Linked DNA regions of Rhinolophus ferrumequinum. The protein of the gene in region 1 binds, or shares a complex with, the protein of each later gene. Links are inferred from orthologs where the notes say so. Each region holds a gene or a part of one and is shown in the gene's direction. Other genes may lie near its edges.

The links. The genes of interacting proteins can lie anywhere in the genome.
Region 2: INTS4 (region 1) and INTS12 share a complex: the UniProt entries of both Homo sapiens proteins name them as parts of the integrator complex. The link is inferred for Rhinolophus ferrumequinum from reciprocal best matches to the Homo sapiens genes INTS4 and INTS12.

Annotation. Positions count from the first base shown.
Region 1 is NC_046294.1:52,163,765-52,174,784, reverse strand, and holds the start of INTS4 (integrator complex subunit 4), read left to right. Parts: upstream 1-6,074; 5' UTR 6,075-6,307; coding exon 6,308-6,361; intron 6,362-9,562; coding exon 9,563-9,757; intron 9,758-11,020. UniProt on the Homo sapiens protein: Component of the integrator complex, a multiprotein complex that terminates RNA polymerase II (Pol II) transcription in the promoter-proximal region of genes.
Region 2 is NC_046288.1:55,685,035-55,695,162, reverse strand, and holds the start of INTS12 (integrator complex subunit 12), read left to right. Parts: upstream 1-5,916; 5' UTR 5,917-6,029; intron 6,030-10,128. UniProt on the Homo sapiens protein: Component of the integrator complex, a multiprotein complex that terminates RNA polymerase II (Pol II) transcription in the promoter-proximal region of genes.

The DNA of each region.
Region 1 (11,020 bases):
GTAATTGCGGTTTTTACAATGATTTTTAACTTTTTAAACCACAATTACTTTTGCACCAACCTAATACATCTATACTGTGTTTCCCCGAAAATAAGACCTAGCCAGATCATCAGCTCTAATGCGTCTTTTGGAGCAAAAATTAATGTAAGTCCCAGTCTTAATATAAGACACAGTATAATATAATATAATATGATATGATATAATATAAATAATATATATAATGTATATAATATATATAATACCAGGTCTTATATAATATCAGACCAGGTCTTATATTAATTTTTTTTTGCTCCAAAAGACGCATTAGAGCTGATGATCCAGCTAGGTCTTATTTTCGGGGAAACACGGTATAATGCAATGTTATATAGCAACTAAAGTAATATTTATAGATGGCTTAAAATTATTAGAGAGGAGAATGCTCATTTAAGTCTATGCAATTTAATTAAATATTAACATCAAAAAGGATTTAAGGTGGCAGGGCTTACACGGTTATGGTGAAAAAATGTCCAGAAAGATATAAATTAGAAGTATATAAATTAAATGGACACTCTTGTTTGCCTACCCAATAATACCATCTCCTCCCTTCCCGTTTTTTAACAGAAAAAACAGAACAGTAAGACACAATAATATTTAAAATACTATATGTTCATTTGTAGGGGTAATGAGACTTTTCAGATCTGTTGGGATTAACTAAAGAAAATTATAGTCAGAGGGGGAAAACAAAATTGAATGCTAAGTATAACTGTCATTATAATCCATAGGAAAAACACAAAAAGAGTAAAACCTTTGATATTGCCCTCATAGAGATACCTTCATTCATAGCACTGTGCCAGGTTTTCAGGTCTACATTGTTTTCCTAGATTTTTCTTTTAAAATTACTGATTTTCCTCACCCTCTCCCACCCCTTCCCTATCCATTCTCTTCCTCTTTCTGCTGTCCTCAATGTCCTGGAAGTCTGATCCCTAGGTAGTGCATGCCCAAGTCCCTTCCTGGTTGGTCAGACTTGGAAAGTACAAGAGTGAAAGAAGGTCTGGGAAGTTGGTATGTGGATGGACCTCTTGGAATAGTGAAAATATTTGTGTTTGTTATGAATGCCCTTCAAAGGGTATCCATTCTAGAAGAGGCTCAATAAATAAATAAATAAATAAATAAATAAATAAATAAATAAATAAATAAACAAACGACACAATGATCCAACCTGTGGATATCATTCAACTTCTTTCCCTAGCTCCTCAATGCTTGCTCAATGGGGTCATGAAAAGCCACAATGGCAGAAATGGAGGCTATGCATAGGTTCTACAGTATAGACTTCCTCTCACCATAGATGATCAGGCAATTGATGGATGTCCAACAGCAGAGACTAAGCCCCTTAAATGGTATTTTTTGGTGGGGGGAGAGGGTGCATGGCTAGACACTTCGTGGGGTAGGTTGATTGCACTGCAAATTAGTTAGCTATACTGCTCTGTAACAAGTTGTGGGAAGAAATGTTGGTGTTTCTAAGCAAATGAAACTGACAGCTTTGTTTGCAATGGTGCTTCGGGGTCGGGAGCAGATTTACTTACATTATAGGGTAATAAAGTATAACTCTCCAATCCTGAAGACATTTCAGGGTAATAAAAAGCATCTCTCCCTGGGTTGTAAGGCAGACTTGTTTCCTAACCAGAGTGCAGGTTTGCTAACATTCGTCTTTTAAGATTGAGAGTTCCCTAAGCTGAGTATTCTTCACTGGTGTTAGAGATCTATCATGTGCATGGCATTCACCTACCTCACTCCCATGGATCTAGGGGGACACGGAGAACCAATACAAACACAAAGTTCATGCCACCTGCTATGCTGTGAATAATAAACTGTCTAAATAAATGTGGGCTTGTTGTCTCCTTACCAGCTGAATCTATGGAAGTGTGGCAAGTCGACTTGGCAATTTAGGGACTGTCTGACCACACGACAATCCCCTGACCCCCAACCTCAATGCCTTAAGACTACAACAATTAATTATGTCTCATAAGCCTACAGATTGGGCAGTTCTTCTGGTCTTGGGATCACTCATGAATCTGTAGTCAGATGGTGGATCAGCTAGGGTAGGGCTGGTCCAAGATGGGCTTAACTGGATCAACTTGGCTTTGTTCCATGTGGTCACTCACACTCCAGCAGACTAGGTGGGATTTATTCTCATGGCAATGGTAGGGTTCCAAAATCAAGCAAAAAGCCGGGGGAATTGGTATGTGGATGAACCTTGAGGCCCAGGCTCAAACCTAGCACACTGTCACTTTTGCTACATTCTACTGGCCATGCACAAGGCCAGCCCAATTCAAAGGTGGGGATATAGATTCCATCTCTTAATAGAAGCCGCTTCAAAGCTACATTTCAAGGGGTATGCATACCGAGAGGGGGAGAGCTGGGGCCATTTTTGTAGTCATTCTACTACACGCCGGATCCTTTCCATCAGGGAGGGAGTAGTGACGTAACCTCACAGGAATAGATACAGATTCAGATTTGACTTTCCTACTGCTATTGACTGAATGTTTGTGTCTGCCCCCACCCCTACCAATTCCTGTGTTGAAACCCTAACCATCAATGTGATGGTATTAGGAGGTGGGGCCTTTGGGAGGTGATAGGTCATGAGAAGAGCCCTCATGAATGGGATTGGTGTCCTTATAAAAGAGACTCCAGAGAGCTCCCTTGCCTCTTCTCCTATGTGAGGACATGTGAGAAGACAGCTATCTATGAACCAGGAAATGAGTTCTCACCAGACACCGAATCTACCTGCACCTTGATCTTGGACTTCCTCGCCTCTAGGACTGTGAGAAATAAGTTTCTGTTGTTTATAAGCCCCTCTGTGGTATTCTGTTAGAGTAGCCTAATATCTCTATACGTGTCCAACTGGTTCTGTTTTCCGGGAGAACCCTAACTCATATACCTAACTGCAATGTTTCTGTCAGCCCTACCATTCATGGATACCTAATTCATTTTCATAGTATATCACACATTGCTTCTGACTAAGGAGCTTATTTTATGGTGGAAGAATTTTAGCAAAGAAACTCATTGGTCTTTCCAGGTACCCCATCACTCAGATGTAGTTACTGTAATGAAAACAGTGTCATGACCTTTTTCAGACTCAGTTATGGTGCTAGCCGAGAGACAACACATTATGAGTTTGGGGTGCTGCCTTACAGGTTTGTGATATGCCTTCTACCAACCGCTAATACACAGTAGTTTCTCTCAGTTAGAATACATGGGCCTGGGAACTAGGGGGTGGAGGTAGGAGTGCTTCTTGACACTTTTACACCTAATAACTCATTTATGAATTCTTGGGTTCAGTGTTAGGAGTACTTAGTCCCCAAGGGAGGAACAGTTCCATTAAAGAACACAGTCATTGTTCTAGTATATTGGAACATGCAATGAGACTGCCCCTGCTCATTTGGGGCACTTCTTGCTGAGCCAACAGGCAGACAAGGGGATACACTTCCAGTCTGAAAGACTGACCCTAATTTCCAAGGGGAAATTGAGTTGTTGTTATACAATAGAGACAGAGAAGACTCTATTTGAAGCCCAAGGTATTCACTGGGGCACCTCATTGTATTCTCATATGCAATAATGAAGGTCCAAGGAAAATGTCATCGATTCAATAAAGACAGTTTTTCATTTCAAAATTAAAGAATGTGATTTCATTACGAGAAAAGAAATCTTAACAAAATAACACAAATGTGACAAAAAAAATTAAAGAATGTGGACTACTTTAATTTCTATACCAGTCTGGCCTCCGCTTCTCAATTTTACTTCTATCACTCCTCCCTGATAGAAGTAAAATTGAGAAGCGGAGGCCAGACTGGTATAGAAACTAAAGTGCATACTAAAGTGCACTAAAGTGTAATACTTTAGTTTCTATACCAGTCTGGCCTCCGCTGTATGCTCCCTGTATGCACTTTACTCTCATTATGAACTGAATTTCCTTTGGTTTCTCCGAGTGCGTCAAACTTCCTCCTAGGCCTCATATCTATTACTAATAATAACAATGATAAACTTTGTGTCATTAATGCTTAGCTGCACATTTAACATCTCTGAAACCAGGACATGTTTTAAGATTGCTGTTGGCCAGGTTTTCATGTGTAGATTGTGTCACAGCACTCCATGTTATCATTGCTTCAGCTGAGCTCTGTGTATGAGATACAGCTACTGTATCTCAAAAAGATGACCTTGCAACTTGCATTAAGAGTTTTTATGTGCACAGGAAGCATAGACATAGGATAGACAGCAGTATGACATAGGATAGAAATTTCCATCTAAATAGGTTTAAAAGAGCTCTTTTTTCAGGGGTGCAAAAAAAATGTACACATTTTAAGAGATGTTATTTATTACTTTTTGAAGTTGAATTGAATTACGGTAGTAGTATGTAGTATGATGTTCGCTTAAAAGATAGCGTTAATCAAATGAATGCTAGCATCATTCACTGTATTACAATTTTAATACAGTTTTTTCCTTTCTTAAAATGTGTATACATTTCTTTGGCACCCTCTGTATAACAAGCCTAAGCAATAAGAAACCATTATTTTTAATTTCAGAATTTTTTTCTTAATGTGTTGTACAAAATAATGGTTTGTTTTACAATTCCTGGCAGCTTAGATTTGATAGAACGTGGTAATAATAATATTAATAATAATAATGGCTGGTAACGTTTATTGAAGGCACTGTTCGCTAAGCGCTTTTCACTTCACTCAGTACATTTATATAATGTACTATAATGTACGTATATATAATGTAATATAATGTACCGTAATCTCTGTGGTCTGAGAAAATTTACGACAGGCATACCTCCTTTCACAATAAAGTGTTTCACTTTATTGTGTTCCGCAAATACTGCATTTTTACAAATTGAAGACCCTCCATCAGCAAAAAGATTGACTCGCCTAAAGGCTCCAATGATGGTTAGCATTATTTTACCAATAATGTATTTATTAACTAAGGTATGCACATTGTGTTTTTAAAGACATAATGCTACTGCACACTTAATAGACTACAGTATAGTATAAACATAACTTTTATATATGTACTGGGAAACCAAAACTTCATGTAACTCGCTTTATTGCAATATTCACTTTATTGCAGTGGTTTGGAACCACACCTGCAGTACCTCTGAGATATGCCTGTATTTTGAAGCCAGATTAAAAATCCTTCCCTTTGTAAAACTTCCCTGAGACATCCTGAAGAAGTTAGGTCTGTTTGAACCACATTCCTCTTATCCAGCACACTTTGGCTGCCCACTAATTATCAGCTTGGGTGTCTCTCCCCAGTTAGGCTACAGCACCTTGAGGGTAAAGACCATCTTTTAATGCATTTTTGGGTCTTCTGTACCTACTACAGCCTGCTGCTTTTTCTCAGCATCCCACATTAACTCTTTTCAAAGATGAAACAATGAACAGCTCAAGTTTAATCTAGGATGTAAAACTGAGCTTGGATTTATTAACACTACAACAGGAACCACACTTTACAGTCTGCAAACTATTTGTGCATTATCTCATTCCACTGTCACTAAATTTGTCAGGTTAGGTGTTATCTGCCCATTTGTAGTTGAGGCTACTTATTTATTAAGTGCCAGTTGTAGTATGAAGCTTCGTTGTTTGACCCTTGGCCTGGGGATTCTTTCCACTCTACCTCAGCTATCAGAGGAGGGGTTTATTCCCTAAAGGATGGGTAGATTTTGAACAACTGGAGTGAGGGAGCAGGAAAAAACACCCCAGGACAGAGTAGGGGTGGAGCACTGATTGGCCAAAAGGAAAGCTCAGGCAAGCTACGAGCAGCAAACACTATACACAGCAAAGGATGATGAGAACGTCAGCTCGGCCTCTTTCCGTTACCTCCCGAGTCAAGATAGTTACGCAGCTCCGGGTTTTACCTGTAGCACTGGCTCAACCCCGCCTCCGCCCTTTACCTGGTACTTTGTCCCACCCTCCGCTCCGTTCCGCGCCAGTCTCTCGAACCCTGAGACCACCACCAAGCCTCCGAAAGCTCCCATTGGCTCGCCCACTCGTTGAGTCCCGCCTCCTCCTCCCGAGGCCCCGCCCCCTCCGCTACGCTCTCTTTTCCGTTCCACCGGCTCCCGAGGCGTAGGCGGCCAAATCCTGCCGTACCGCGACGGGGCAGTCGAGCAGCCGGAAGTGGCCACTCTTTCTCGGAATCCCACTGCCTTGTGGGACCGTGGCCGGTTCCTCCGGCCTGAGCTAGTTTTCCGGGTTCCTTCAGCCCGCCCCCTTCCCTTCACTCCCCCGCCTTCCTCGTCAAGTACGGAAGCTGAGAAGGTCCGCTGGCAGCCATGGCGGCGCACCTTAAGAAGCGGGTGTACGAGGAATTCACTAAGGTGGTTCAGGTAAGCTCGGGAAGGAAAGGTCCTGGGACCGATCCGGGCAGCGGAAGATTAAATACACGTCAGGCGCTTTGCTGGAACAAACTTGGGTTGAGCGCCTATTACTTTGATAGGCTCTCTGGGACTACACTTTAGTGGGCGTGTTCATTTGTCCCTATTCTTGTTATTATGATTAATATGTGCAGTCTTGATACTTTTTTTTAATTATTAGAAGAAACAAATAGCGCTTTACCATTTACGGAAATAACCGTTATTTTATTCAGGTTACATTAATATCCTCGTTTTACGGATGTGGATTTAGCTTCTGGAGGGGTCGAGGACAGAGAGCCAATTAGTGGCAGAGCCCCTCCCAATTCCTGTTGCACACACACACACACACACACACACACACACACACTTTCCCAGGGACAAGTTGGTTGTACTCAAAGCTCTCGGGATGGAAGAGGAGTCTGTAGAAATTCTTAAGACCCAGTCAAAGCAGGCGTGGGTCACAAGCTTCATTGGGGTAGAACTCTTCCATTGGTGGTGGGCAATACCTTCTTCCATTGGAGTTAAGGACCGGTGTGCCGAGCCCTTGACAGAGCACTCAGTGCTTCTCCATGTGTCTCCTTGTAGATGTCGCTAAAGTAGAAGTTGATCCTAAGTCATTCCATGTGTCGTGCTCCTTAGACTTATGTGTATACAAATCACCTGGGGAATCACATTAAAATATAGCTTGTACGCAGTAAGTCTGGCAGTGGAGGTGAGGCAATCTGCATTTCTGACAAGCCCCCAATTGATACTAGTTGATCAGCAGCATCCTTAGAGCCACAGACCACCCTTAATTCTTCTACTTGTAGAGTAGCAGGACTTAGACCATCCAGAAGGAACTGATCCTTAAACCTTTCATTCATTCCTTCAACAAGAGTTTATTGAGTGAATGAGTGGTTACTATGTATCAGGTATGATGAATACATTGAGCTACAGTGTCCAATACACGTGAGGGTCCTTCTTTAGGAGCTCACAGTCTAGTAAGAGAGAGAACAGCATATCATATATGTGATTCGTACTACAGAGAGATAATTGCACTGACAAATCAAGTCATCCTTCTACTTTTGCAGCTCCGTTTCCTAAAAACTCCCCAGCCAAACTCCCAGCCCTTCTTGATTTGACAGTATACCCTCCAGCTGTATCCCTTCCTTTCTTTTTTGTTTTGTGGACGCATCTTTGTAGCACATTCCCATTGTCTGTAGGGAAGTTAGTTTGCCTTATTCTTGTTTTTGCTTATAATAACTTTGAGATTTAACTTTGACACTTTTTTGTTGCCCTTTTTAATGTGAAATTAGTTTTCTGAATTTTTAGAATGAGTCAAGATTTAGGATAGCGTTTTCTAACTTCACAGAGCTCCCTCTTCTGTGGCTTGCTTTCTGGGATTTCCTGGCTTTGTTTCCCTTGACATCCTCCCCTTTTTTTTTAAATTGTTATAAAATATACATAAATAAAATTTACTGTTTTAACCAGTTCTGGTGTTAAGTACATTAACATTGTTGTGCAGTGTAATTTTTTTTGGAAACATTTTGTTGTTCCCACTTCTCAAGACTACTCATCCCTCCTCCAACATGCCATGTGTTTGTACCTCTCCAAACTTGTGTATCTATTGTCTCTTTTGCATAGAATGGATATCATTCTTCCCTTTCTTTTTTTTCTCCACCCAGTGGACTTATATTTTTGCTTCAAAAATATCAGTTGGGCTCAAGACCCAACTGAAACCTGAGCAAGAGTTTAGTCTCTTCCCTACTTCTACGGCACTCTGTTGTACTCATCTGTTTCTACTTATCACTCAGTACTACTACTGTGATTACCAGTATACGTATTTTCCCACTAGTCTGGGCTCTTTGAGGGCAGAGATAATGCCTGAGGGTTCATCCCTGTCACCCCTGGATAGACCATAGGGTCTGGCTCACTAAAATGTCATTGATGGTTGGTTGATTGCAGATGTTGGTTTGTCTGTCCTTTTACATACTCTCTAGGGAAAAAATCTTTCCCAGCTTTTGATCTAATTGCAGCCTGGATAAGACTGAAGACTGAATGTGTGGAATAGGATGGAAATGGGTAAATGGTTATTGAACCCAAATTCCTCTGACTTCAGAACTCCAGGTCTTTTTATCATGTCATATCATGTTGCTGTCTAGCATAATCCTAATCTCTTCTCGGTAGAAGGGTAAATTTGTAAGGAGGTAATTGCTTAGAATATGAAAATGATGTCAAGTGTTAAGGAAAATTATTGATTACAACATTTATCTTATGTTATGATCCCCTCTATACCTACCCACTAGGGCCTGACTTAAACCCCAGAGTGACAGGTTCCCTTTTACATGAACTTTTTGGGACTCATTATATGTAACAAATGCACCTAGAATGTTTCTAGTTCTGTACCACCCTTTGGGGATAGAGAAATAATTACTCAAATAATTTTATGTGTTCTGTGGTTCAGATGAGAATCCCTGGTTGAGAAAGGTAGGTGTCGTCATCCCCATTTTACAGATGATAATACTGAGAATCATGACTAACTTAGAACAGAGCAGCATTCCAAGTCAATCATTCAGTAAACATTTATTAAGTGGCTACAGTTTGCTAGGCCTACGGCAGTGTATTTTTTTCCTACACTGACCATCTTTTTAATAAAGGCAGAATGATTTGGGGGAAGCTAGTCATCTGGAGTGAGGGAAAGATTTTTTTCCTCAGTGTAAGCTGCAGACAGTTCCCATCAGTTCTGTTTTTCTCTGGAGGGAAGCTGAGCCTGGTGGGTGCCACAGCACAGCCTGAATACATTTGTAGAATTGGTATTTCTAGCAAAGAATGGAGCTGATTCTTTGTGTGTGTGGCCTCTTAACCCTAAAGCTACAACAATTCTAAGAGATAGGCAGAACAAAATGTTAATGGACCTACTTTACAAAGAAAGAAAATGAGACCTGGAGATATTAAATGACTTGTCCAAAGTCATGGGAGCTAGTGAAAAGCAAACTTGGGACTCGTAGCCTTGTCTCCAATCCAGTGCTCTTTGTCCAGTTCATAGCGCTGCTTTTTCCTAAGACTAGGTCTATTGCCTAAATACGTTATTTGGTGTAAAGGAACACTGTTTCCATCAAATGAGATAAAGTTAAATGGGCAGACTCTCTGTTTTCCGTTAGGTTTTCATGCCTTATCTTCTTTATCCCCTTGCAGCAACAACAGGAGGAAATTACTGCTAAGAAACTCCGACTGACAAAACCAAGTAAATCTGCAGCTCTCCATATAGATCTGTGTAAAGCTACGTCCCCAGCAGACGCTTTGCAGTACCTACTTCAGTTTGCCAGGAAGCCTGTTGAGGCAGAAAGTGTGGAGGGAGTAGTCAGGATTCTCTTGGAACATTATTACAAGGTAAGAAGGTCTTGAGGACCTGGTGGGAGTATGTGTAAGTTGTACCATATCTGCAGAATGGGTTCATATTGCAAAATAAGGAAGATGTTCATGCAGCAGTCTTTTACTGGGTGTCTCCTGTGTGCTAGGGACTGTGGATACAGAGATACAAAAAGACCCAAATCCTGTCCTCAGAAGCTTGTAGTGCCCAGATGGAGACAGATACAAACAATAAGATGATATGAACGGTTGTGTTGCTGAAGATACTGTGACTACAGTATGTACAGTGGGAGCAAAAAGGAGGAGTAAACTTCAATCATGACCTTTCTTTCATCAAATTTGTCTCTGGAATGTAGTGCTGTCAACCTGCTGTTACTGCCCTAATTCAAGGCCCTAATATGTAACTGCAATAGCCAACCCCACCCTTTTTTAATCAGCTAAGTGGCATTTTATTTCTCCATGTATTTTTAATGGGTTAGAAAAACATCATGCATGATTCAGTATAGGCAATAGTTTAAACAGAAAATGAAATTCACAAAATGTGTTTATTTTTTTGTTTTTTATATAAAGTGAGATCTGAAGTAAAAGAATAAATGATTTTCAAATATTTGAATCACAGATGAATGAAAATTTTACATTTTAGTATGAAAATTATTAAGCTTCTAAAAGAGTAGAGACAATACTATAATGAACTGCCAGATACCCAGCTCTGTGATTAAAGTTATTAATCTTTTGCCAAATTGGCTTCCTCTGTTTTTTAACGTATAATATTTTTCTTTAAATAGTTCAGTAAATATCTCTAAAAAAAGGATATTTTTTTTAAAACATAACCACCTAACTACAGCAAATAAAACTAAATCCTTAATGTCATCTAACAGTTAGTCTGTATTCAAATTTCTCTCGTTCCCCAAATATCTTTTTAGAGTTGATTTGTTCAAATCAAAATGCAAACAGTGCCCATACATGGCATTTGCTCTTTTTAAAATCTAGAACAATTTTTTGTTTCTGGTGACATTGACCTGTTGAAGAAACTTGGTCAGTTGTTTTGTAAAATGTCTTGTTTTCTGACTTTGTTTATTTTCTTGGGGGTGAACTTGCACCTCTATCCCCGTATTTACTATGAACTGGAAGTTAAATCTATTTGTTAGATTCAAGTTCAGCATATTTTTTAGAATTTTGAGAATACTTTATAGATGATTTGTATTTCATATTGCATCTGTTGGGATGAACATAATGTCTTGAAGTCCTGCTTTGCAAAAGCTTCTTTTCTTTTTCCCTTCAGTC
Region 2 (10,128 bases), on another chromosome or scaffold:
GTCCATCAATGGATGAAAGGATAAAGAAGAGGTGGTACATATACACATTGGAATATTGCTCAGCCAGGGAAGGGAATGGATTCTTGCCATCTGCAGCAGCATAGATAGACCTGAATATCACACAGAGAAAAACAGATGCAATGTGATTTCTTGTGTAGAATTATATATATTGTATCTAAAGAACAAAATAAATAAATAAAAGAGAAACAAACTCATAGATGCAGAGAACATTTTAATGGTTGCCAGATGGGAGGAGGGTTGAGGGTAGGTGAAAAAGGGGAAGGGATTAAAAAGTAGAAATTTGTTGTTATACAGTAGTCACATGGATGTAGGGTATAGCATAAGAATATAGTCAATAATATTGTAATAACTATGTATGGTGTCCTATAGGTACTAGATTTTTGGAGGTGATAGATGGAAGGGGATGGGGAGAAAGGTGAAAAAGAGGGAAGGCATTAAGGAGCACAAATTGGTAGTTACAAAACTGTCATGGGGATGTACAGCACAGGGAAGATAGTCAATAATATGGTAATAACTATGTATAGTGCCAGGTAGGTACTAGACTAGGCAGGGGGATCACTTCGTAAATTATGCAAATGACTAACCATTATGCTGTGCTCCTGAAATTAATATGAAATAATATTTAACATCAATTATAATTGAAAAATTTAAAAAGGGGAGTGGGGAAAGGTGAAGGGAAATAAGAGGTTCAAATTTCCAGGTATAAAACAAATAAGTCATGGGGATGTAATGTACAGCATAGGGAATATAGTCAGTAATATTTTGATAGTGTGATACAATGTCATATGGCTGCTGGATTTTGGTGGTCAGGGCTTTAGGTATATAAATGTCGAATAACTATTGTGTATCCTTAAAATTAAGATAATATTGTAGGTTAGCTATATTTTAATACAAATCTTAAAAAATAAAAGTCAAGAGAAGGCTGAGACTTGGAAAGACAGCAATGGAAGAATTACAAAAGATCTCGAAGAGCAAAGATGAGTCATTAGAGACCAAGACTAAGTAAGATCACCCACATCGTGTTATTCTCAATTACAATGTACAGATGTGAAAGTTGGACAGTAAAGAAGGTGGATGGGGGCGAGGGGAGGATTCATTGGAAATATGGTGTTGGAGGAGAGCTCCACAGATACCCAGGACTGCCAGGAAGATGAACAGGTGGGTCCTAGAGCAAATTAAGCTTGAAACATCTCTGGAGGTAAAAGTGGTAAAACTGAAGCGGCCCTGCATTAGACACAGTTCTTTGGAAAAGATAATAACGCTCGGGAAAGTAGAAGGCAGCAGGAAAAGAGGAAGACCAAATATAATAGGGATTGACTCTATAAAAGAAGCCATAGGCCTGAGTCTCCAGGAGCTGAGTGGTGCTGTTGGACAGGACATGATGGATGTCACTCATTCATAGGGTCACCAGGAGTCAGAGCTGACTCAATAGCACATAACACACAATTTCACCAAAGTGAAAATCATCAGAAATTATGGTCTTCTAAGCAATTGTGCTGGTCCTAGTAATCCTTGATAAAAACCTCTGTTCTAAAGGCAGGGGTATTTGACCATCTCAGCATTGGATGAAGTGCTTTGAGAGTTCCTTTCTGTTTTCCATTACTGGATCCTTCTCGGACCTCTTAGTGACCCTTGGCTCATTGCTTGACCCTATTCTCCATCTACATTCACTCCTTTGAGCACTGGCTTTCAAAATTTTGATCATGCCACACAATAAAAAATGTTTTATAATGCAACTCATTATATATTGAATAAAACAAAAATGAAAGAAATATAAAAAAAAAAAACAACCCCACTGCATGGGATATATCCAATATTGTTCACTTGTTGCTTTTTCTTTCTTCTTGTTTTTAATACTAGTTAATACTCACTAAGTTGATTTCATGACCCAACAACTCAACAATATAATAGCTTTGTTCTAAGTGATCTCTAGTGCCATAGGTTTAAATATCATCTATGATTCTTACATTTATCTCTTCCACGTCCTTTCTCCAGAACTTCTGAATTCTGTATCATACTTGACATCTCAATGTGGACATTTTTCTAAACCCGTTCCTCTTCCCTTTATAGTCCACTTTTTGGCAAAATGGCAACACCACACAGTCAGATGCTCAGGCCTGTAACTCCGAAGTCTTTTCTTCTCTCTCATAACCTATTTCTAACTTTGAAATATATGCTAAATCCAACATCTTGGCATCTCTATGACTATCACCTTCACCTTAACCTAAGTCATCATCAGCTCTTACAAAGACCACTGCAAAAGCCTATTAACTATTTTCCTCCACCCTTCACACAACAGTCAATGCTTCAACAAGTCAGGGTGATCCTTTAAAAACATAAATCAGATCATACCCCCTGTTCACAACCATCCAATGGCTCCCAGCACACATACCGTAGGAGAAAATCAAAATTTCCTATTATGGCCTATGAGACGTAACGTGACCCCAGCTGTCTTCTTTTCTGACCTCCTACCCCTCCTGCCTCTTGCTCACTCCTCTCCAGCCAGTTCTTTTGCTGTTCTTGGAAGATGCCAGGGATACTTCCACTTGAGAATTTTTGTACTTGCTGTCCCCTCTGCATAGAATGTTCTTCTTCAAGATATTCACATGGTTTGCTCCTTCATTCATTGAGGTCTCTGAATATTAACTCAGAGCAGCCTCTCCTGACAACCTGAATTGAAAAAGCACTCCCATCAGTCACTGGCCCCTTATCCTGCTTCTTTTACTTTTTGGCACTTATTACCTGACATTACATCCCCAATGAATAAATAACTGAATGTACATAAATGAGTATCAGTAATCACTGTAATGAGAGTACCATTGAGAACTGTAGTCTTGGTACATGAACCCCAATCTTCTTGAAACCATTCTTTCTCTTCCAGATGAATAAATCTATTTTAAGAGCCATCTATGTGTAAATTAAAATGAAGAAAAGAGATCACTTCTGTGAGCTGAACTGGAAAAAGAATAAATAGAATCCCATCGAAACAGGTAAGTAAAGCAAGCATAGATGTTTTTATGTATATCGATATTCACACAAGAGAACTAGGAATCTAACTAGATTCTGTATACTTACTTAGCAAGTAGAATATTAATATACCAAGAATTATAAAGTAGCGAATAAGAGCCTAGACTCTGGAGCTAACTATCCACATTCAAATCCTGGTCCTGAGATTTTGTAGCAATAGAAAACTTTTCTGTGCCTTAGTTTCCCATTTATAAAATGGGGACAATAATAACAGTATTTACCATGTAGTGTGCTATAAGAACAGAACAATGCCTATTACATTCATAAGCCCCTAAATAAAAATTTGCTATTATTATCATTCATTTATAATGTATCCCCAAATTCCCTATCCATTGGCACTCTTAAAATGCACAAATTTTGATGGGAAGCCCCAAATTATGCTTTATATTGCCAAACTTCTTTTCTGGAAAGGTAACGAGTTCATGTTGAATGGAAAAGATATTCCCCCCAAACACTGAAAAAAAATCTGTTACTGAGGCTGAAATCCAGGGAGACACAAAATGGTAGAAATAAATGTGAATCCCTAAGTTCGCATGCATATCAACTGCTTATATTGTACAAAATAAATAGCTGAACAGTTTACAGGTAAGGAAAAATTATAGACTCTTATTTTTCTTAGAGATTAGAACTTAAATTTAAACCCATTTAAGTTCCCTACTATATCAAATGCTCAACATTATGGATATTAGAACTTAGCTTGTGTTTTATACATTTCACAAAATAACACTATTTGGTAGCAAAGCTCACTCTATTTTCTTACAATAAAGATTAAAAAAAAAAAAAAAGACACAAAAATACCCTGCCCCTACAGAGTTAGACAGCAGCTAACTACTTTAATACTGACAGTTAACAAAGCAAAGAGAAAAAGAACTGAGGTATTTCTGTGCTCATTACATTACTATAATTAAAATTAGCTGTTTTCTTATCTGGGCAAGTAGTGGGAAAAATGCTTAAAAGTAAAAAGCTTACTGTAACCTTAGTCATAAGAGAAGTGTCTCATCTTCTCTCTGGAGAATCAGGGATTCATCTGTTGCCCTAGAATCATAATGCTCGTAGCTAAGCCTGACCTCATAATTAACAGGGATTCACAAAATGAAGTGCTAACATGTTAGAAACATCAGCAAGCCTGAAATAAAATTACTGAATCCCCACAGCAAACAATACCTGTGCTTGTTATGATGTTAAGTGGTTTAAATCATTGCATTTCATGTACTAATTATAACAAAATTCAGTAAGCTACTTTGAATACTTGAAGATAAAAACAACATACACTAAAGAACTGTGTGTAACACGGATATTTCAGTTGACTGGCGTCAGAATTTAAGTTTCAAGGTCTGCTAAATTGTTGCTGTTTGAAAGGCCAAGCAGATACTCAGTATTTATTATTTCAAATCACAGGTGATACAAAAGCTACAAAGTAAACACAGGTTTAAAAAAAATCTTGATAGGCTCACTACAGAAGTTTGAGCTTTGTTTAAAGGAGGGAAACAAGTAGTAAAAGTGTAAAACGAATAACAAAAGAATTGCTAAAAAGGTTCTCAAATCTCACTGATTTTTTCACAAACTTATTTTTTAAGTGAGACCTATTAAAATGATGCCTTCAGGTATAACTCAAACACAATTTCAAATGATGAGTACGCCTAAGGCAATCCTCAGTAGTGTATATTCCCCACCAAGAAGTTAAAAAAAAAAACTCGCATAGTTTAATGTTTTGATTTATTAAATATGACAGAAAATCACTCCATTGTATTTATAACAATTTATTTTTACAATATTTAAATGATCATGTTTACACGTTTAAAATGGTCACATCAGTAGTTCTTGCCAGCTTTTGCATTTTCTCCTTTAAATACTTTCTATAGATAAGCTCACAAAAGTAGTACTCTACCTTCTTTATCAATAATTTAGCACAAGATATATTCCTATTAACTGCTGGCATTTCCTTGACATTCAAGAACTTACGACAGGGAATGGGATCTTGGCATTAAGAGATCCTGGCATTAAGAATAAGAGAAAAAAAAATGTCATCTAATCCCAAAACCAGGTATAGAGCTGGGATGGAAAGTACGTGTATTAGTAAACGTTTCTGAACCCAAAGCAATTCTAATGCAAGTTAAACTCAAACTTTCTACAGAAGTTGAAAACCGAAGTGAAACACTCACTGATGGTGCGACAGAAGCAAATAGCCCAAACTGAAGCAAGTCCTTTGGAGCAACTGTTAAAACTGTATGCACATAGAACTGCTTTCTCTAATCAGGAAGGGCTGAAATGGAAAACTAAGTGCCAAAAAGAAAACGAAAAAGTTAAAGCGTGATCCAAGAGGTCTTAGCAGCAAACCGCAAACGATCCCCCACTTACTCCTACAACTAGAAGCTGCTCCGTTGCCCCCATCAGCAGAGGAAGCCACTGGGGATTGGCCCTGGGAAACTAAGGGGCCCCGGGCCCTCTACCTGCACCCTCAGAAGCTGTGGCCAAAGAGGGGCCGGAGAGAGATCAGGACCCTAATTCCACGCCTCTGTCCTATCCCTGCATCGTCAGTCCTGTTTCCCCTGGATGCAAAGAGTAGCCTTGGGGGTTGCGGGGACTGTGGAGCCGGCGGCCCCAGCGCCCTCTTTACCTGGTCGCAGAGACGCGGCCAAGCAGGGAGGGTGAGGGTGCGTGTTCGCATCGGCGACACGGGCCGCCCGCGCCTTCCCGTCCCGCTAGAGCCCGGATTCCGAGGCCGCTTCTGGAGTCTTCGCCAGCGGACCACTGGCTACCAGACTGGCAGAGAAACAACAGACAACTCGTCCGAGAAAGAGCCGCGCCGGCCGTCATTCATAATCCGGCGGACCGGAAGCAGAGGGGGTTACGTCACTTCCGACCGTGGCGCAGAGAAAGTTTTCCCCCACGACTCTGCTGCGGGAACCTCTCAGAGCGGACTGGTGCCGGGACCGGTTCGGAAGGGGCTACGGGAACCTACGGAGTAGCGGGGCGGAGCGGTGAGTTGTGACGAGCGACCCTCCTCCCAGCCGCCTCTGGGAGGCTCGAGACCTCCGCGAGGGATGTGGTGGGAGAATAGTTCCGTGGGGTCTTAGTTTCCTCAGCCCTTATGGGGAAACCTCGTAATTTGCGGGCGATCCCGCGCCCCAGGCTGACCGCTCTTCCCTTTCATTGAGGTCTCTGCGTCCTCCGAGGGTGTTGCGAGCTGGGGCACTCGGACGGAGGACACAGTCCCAGGGGCTAGGTCCTGAGATCCCTGTCTCGGACCTTCCTGAGAAGGTTTTGGCGACTTCTCTGTACAGCTCGCTCTTTCCTGTCTCAGCTTCTCTCGGGCTCCCTCTCAAGGAGCATCCCCCGTGCTAGGCCTACGGTGTGTCAGGCTTTGATCAAAGGATGGGAATTCCTTTTCTTAGTCGCTGTCTGCTTAGTCTGCTGTCGCTTTTCAGGTTCTCTGACATTTCGTTGTTTTAGAATCGGGGTCCTTCTGCCTCCCCTGCGTTTCCAGACGAGTCCCTAGGGTATCAATATAGCCCAGGCCAACATCTAAGTGGAGGAATGAAAAGAGCAGCATCTTTAAAAGGATGCTTATTAGAAAGCATTGCAAGAGCTTGCAAAGACATAAAAGGCAAAGCTTACTAGAGCCGTTATGAGGTGACAGCCCTAATATTGCACTCTGCGTGCAATATTTCCTTCATGTCCTGCACATGCAGATGATCAACTTTGGGCTTCTTTTAAGATTGGCACGTAGGGTGGAAAACAGGATCTAGGGGAAAGCATATATTTATATATGAAGACCCAATTTAGGTTGGAGAATCTCAAAAGCCCTAGAAAGTGTTATTTCAACAAAAACCTCAATAAATATGTTTGAATACCCATCCAGTTCCAAACTCTAGGTATATACCTGTGAATTTAAAAAAAAAAAAAGCCCCTGCTCTCATGGAGTTTACAATTCAGTGGGATTAATGAATTTTAACCAGATGAAGGATTGGGAAGCATGCTTTGCAGATAGGAACATTGTACAGGTCCCTGGTCATGAAAGACCTGTTTTCGGTTTCCTTTTTTTTTTTTTTTTTTTATGTTTAGGGATTTGGGGGTGGGATGGAAGGTGGGGCAATGATAGATTTGAATTGCTTTTCTGTTGCTTTTTGTGAAAGGGCTTTGGAAGTGGTTAAAATTATGTAGAAGAGAAAAGGCCATTATACTTTGATTGCTTAATAATTTTATAGCCATTATTTTGTGGTTCTTTGCAAAGTAACATAGTGATAGGCAAAAAGATAAATATAGACCCTGCCCATAAAATACTTAAGACTTTTATAGGGTATATAATACTTGTGCAAAATAAAAATAAAAAAAATATGTATGGTTCAAGGTAGAAAGTCCCCAGTACCTTGAGAAAGCACTACAAGACATCCTAGGAGGAAAAGATTATTAGTAGTATTTGGGGTGGGAAAGGACATACCAGCTGTGAGTAGAATCCTCCTGAGAAGTAATGTTTGAACTAGGCCTTGATCGGAGTTGGAAATCTAAAAAATGGTTTAAAAAGCTTCTCAGACAGAGAAAAAAATAAATAAGTAGACGGGGCAAAGCCAGCTAATGGCTCTGCTGTGAGGAAAATCAAGATGAAGAATTACAATTTTTGTGCCAGTTGATGAATCTTCTTAAAATCCAGGCCGAGAGATTGGGCTTTATTTTGAAGGCAGTGGGAAGCCTTAATTTTTGAGGAAGAACATTTAAAAAGGAAAAGAAAAATGTGTTACAGGAGCATTAATATGGCAATGGTGTTCCAGTCAACAGTGTTAAAATAGATTATTGCTATAGTATGAAAAAGCTCACAAAGATCTCAACTTGAATAGTAGCAGTAGAGGTGAAAAACGGTGTAAATGTGAGCAATGTTCCAGAGCCACAATTCACAGGAAAGGCCTGCTGATAGTTTGTATATAAGGAATAGAGGAGGACTCAGTGAGGGATAGATGTCGGCTCTAGACCTGACTAATAGAGAGTTGTGTCATTTATTTTAAAAAAGTTATAGGACAGGGAACTTTTGGGGAAGATATTCATAATCTCAATTTTAGTCATAATTTAACTTGAGATACTATTAGGGCAATCAGGCCGATGTGTCTATTAAGCAAGTATGTGGGATTCGAGTTTAAGAGAGATGAGAGTGGGGATAAACGTGAAACTATCTGCCTAGAGATGATAGTTGAAAACGTGATATACATCAGATTACCTGGGAAGAAATTGGCACCACAACTAATGACGATAGACAAGGGCAGATACTTGAGCAATACCAAGAACAACAGTGATGAGAAGATGAGCCAAAGAAACGATAGTCAGAGATATGAGGAAAAACAGAAAAGCTGAATGTGATAGAACTTAAGGAGGAGAAGGTTCTTAGAAAAGGGAAGTAGATAACATGTATTCACTTGGCGGACATTTATATAGTACGTACTATCTGCCAGGCACGGTGCTAGACACATGGTCACAGCAGTAAGTAAGACCAATCCATTGCTGGCCCTCATTCTAGAAATGTACATTCTAGTGAGAAAGACAGATACTGTTTACTTAGTTAACAGTGCAGTAACTATTACAAATAAGTGTGTTACAAATAAGGATGTTTTGGGACCATATAATAGTAAGAATATGTGCAGAAAGAAAATGAGACTTGAAGAATGAATAAGATGAGGAATGGGACATTTTCTACTAAAATGCTGAGGTAAGAAAGATATGTTGAAAGACTTGAAATAATTTCATGCAGCTACAACAAAGAGAGTGGGAATAGCGCGAAACACTAGGTAACATTTAATGAGTATATACTCTGTGCCAGGAACTGTTGTAACTGCTTTACATGTATTACCAGATCATGTAGGGCATTAGAGACCTTGTTAAAAATCTTGTTCTTTAACCTTTGGATAGTGAGAAGTGAAAATATTTTTTTATTTTTATTTATTTTTATTGCTTTTATGAACTTGACTAATTTTCCGCATTGTCTAAGTATAAGGGAATTATACGTGGGAATTCCTTCACTCCATACATCTTTATGAATGCCCAGTCTGTGTCATTAACGTGCGTACTGAGAAAGCATCAGTGAACAAAAAAACAAACTTTCTATTGTAATGGAGTATTCTGTGAGAAAGTAAACACACAGTAAACATAAAAGACCATCACCCAGTAGAGAGAGCTTGGCAGAAAGTTATGTAAAATGATGTAACAATGTGAAAAGTTTATATTGAGTTGTTGGCAATCCCTCTCCTGGGTATACCCAAAAAATCTGAAAACATTTATCCATAAAGACATATGTGCTCCAGTGTTCATTGCAGCTTTATTTACGGTGGCCAAGACATGGAAACAACCAAAATGTCCTTCGATAGATGAATGGATAAAGAAGTTGTGGTATATATACATGGAGGAATACTATTCGGTGGTAAGAAACGATGAAATAGGACCATTTGTGACAATATGGATGGATCTTGAGATTATAATGCTAAGTGAAATAAGTCAGACAGAAAAATTTAAAAAGCATATGATTTCACTGATATGTGGGATATAAACCGAAAACAACAAAGGAACCCAACAAACAACTGAAAGAACAAAAATTCATAGACGTAGACAATAGTTTAGGGGTTACCAGAGGGTAAGGAGGGAGGGGGGAGTGGGGCTCTAGAAGAGGGTAAATGGGGTCTAATATATGGTGATGGAAAGAGAACTGACTCTGGGTGGTGAGCACGCAATGTGAGATATAGATGATATATTACAGAATTGTGCACCTGAAATCTTTTCTACGGCTCATCACTAGTGCATCCTCTAACCATTGCCCTCCTGTGATACCCTATCGCCCACACTAAATCATCTTTTTTCTGCCGTGGAAATAATTTTGAGAGAAGACATTTTAATATATAGTAAACTTGACCTAAGCACATCAAGTTCATGGGTACTAAACTGTAAGTGTGTATTTTAAAATGGAGTTAGGAGGAGGCTCTGTGGTAGGGAGGAACTTACCTGGACTTAAGACTTGGATTTGGATGTACAGAAAACTGAAAGCACTCTTGCTTCAGGGGAAAAGAGCGAGGTAATGCCTGTCAGTGATAGGAAGTAAATTTA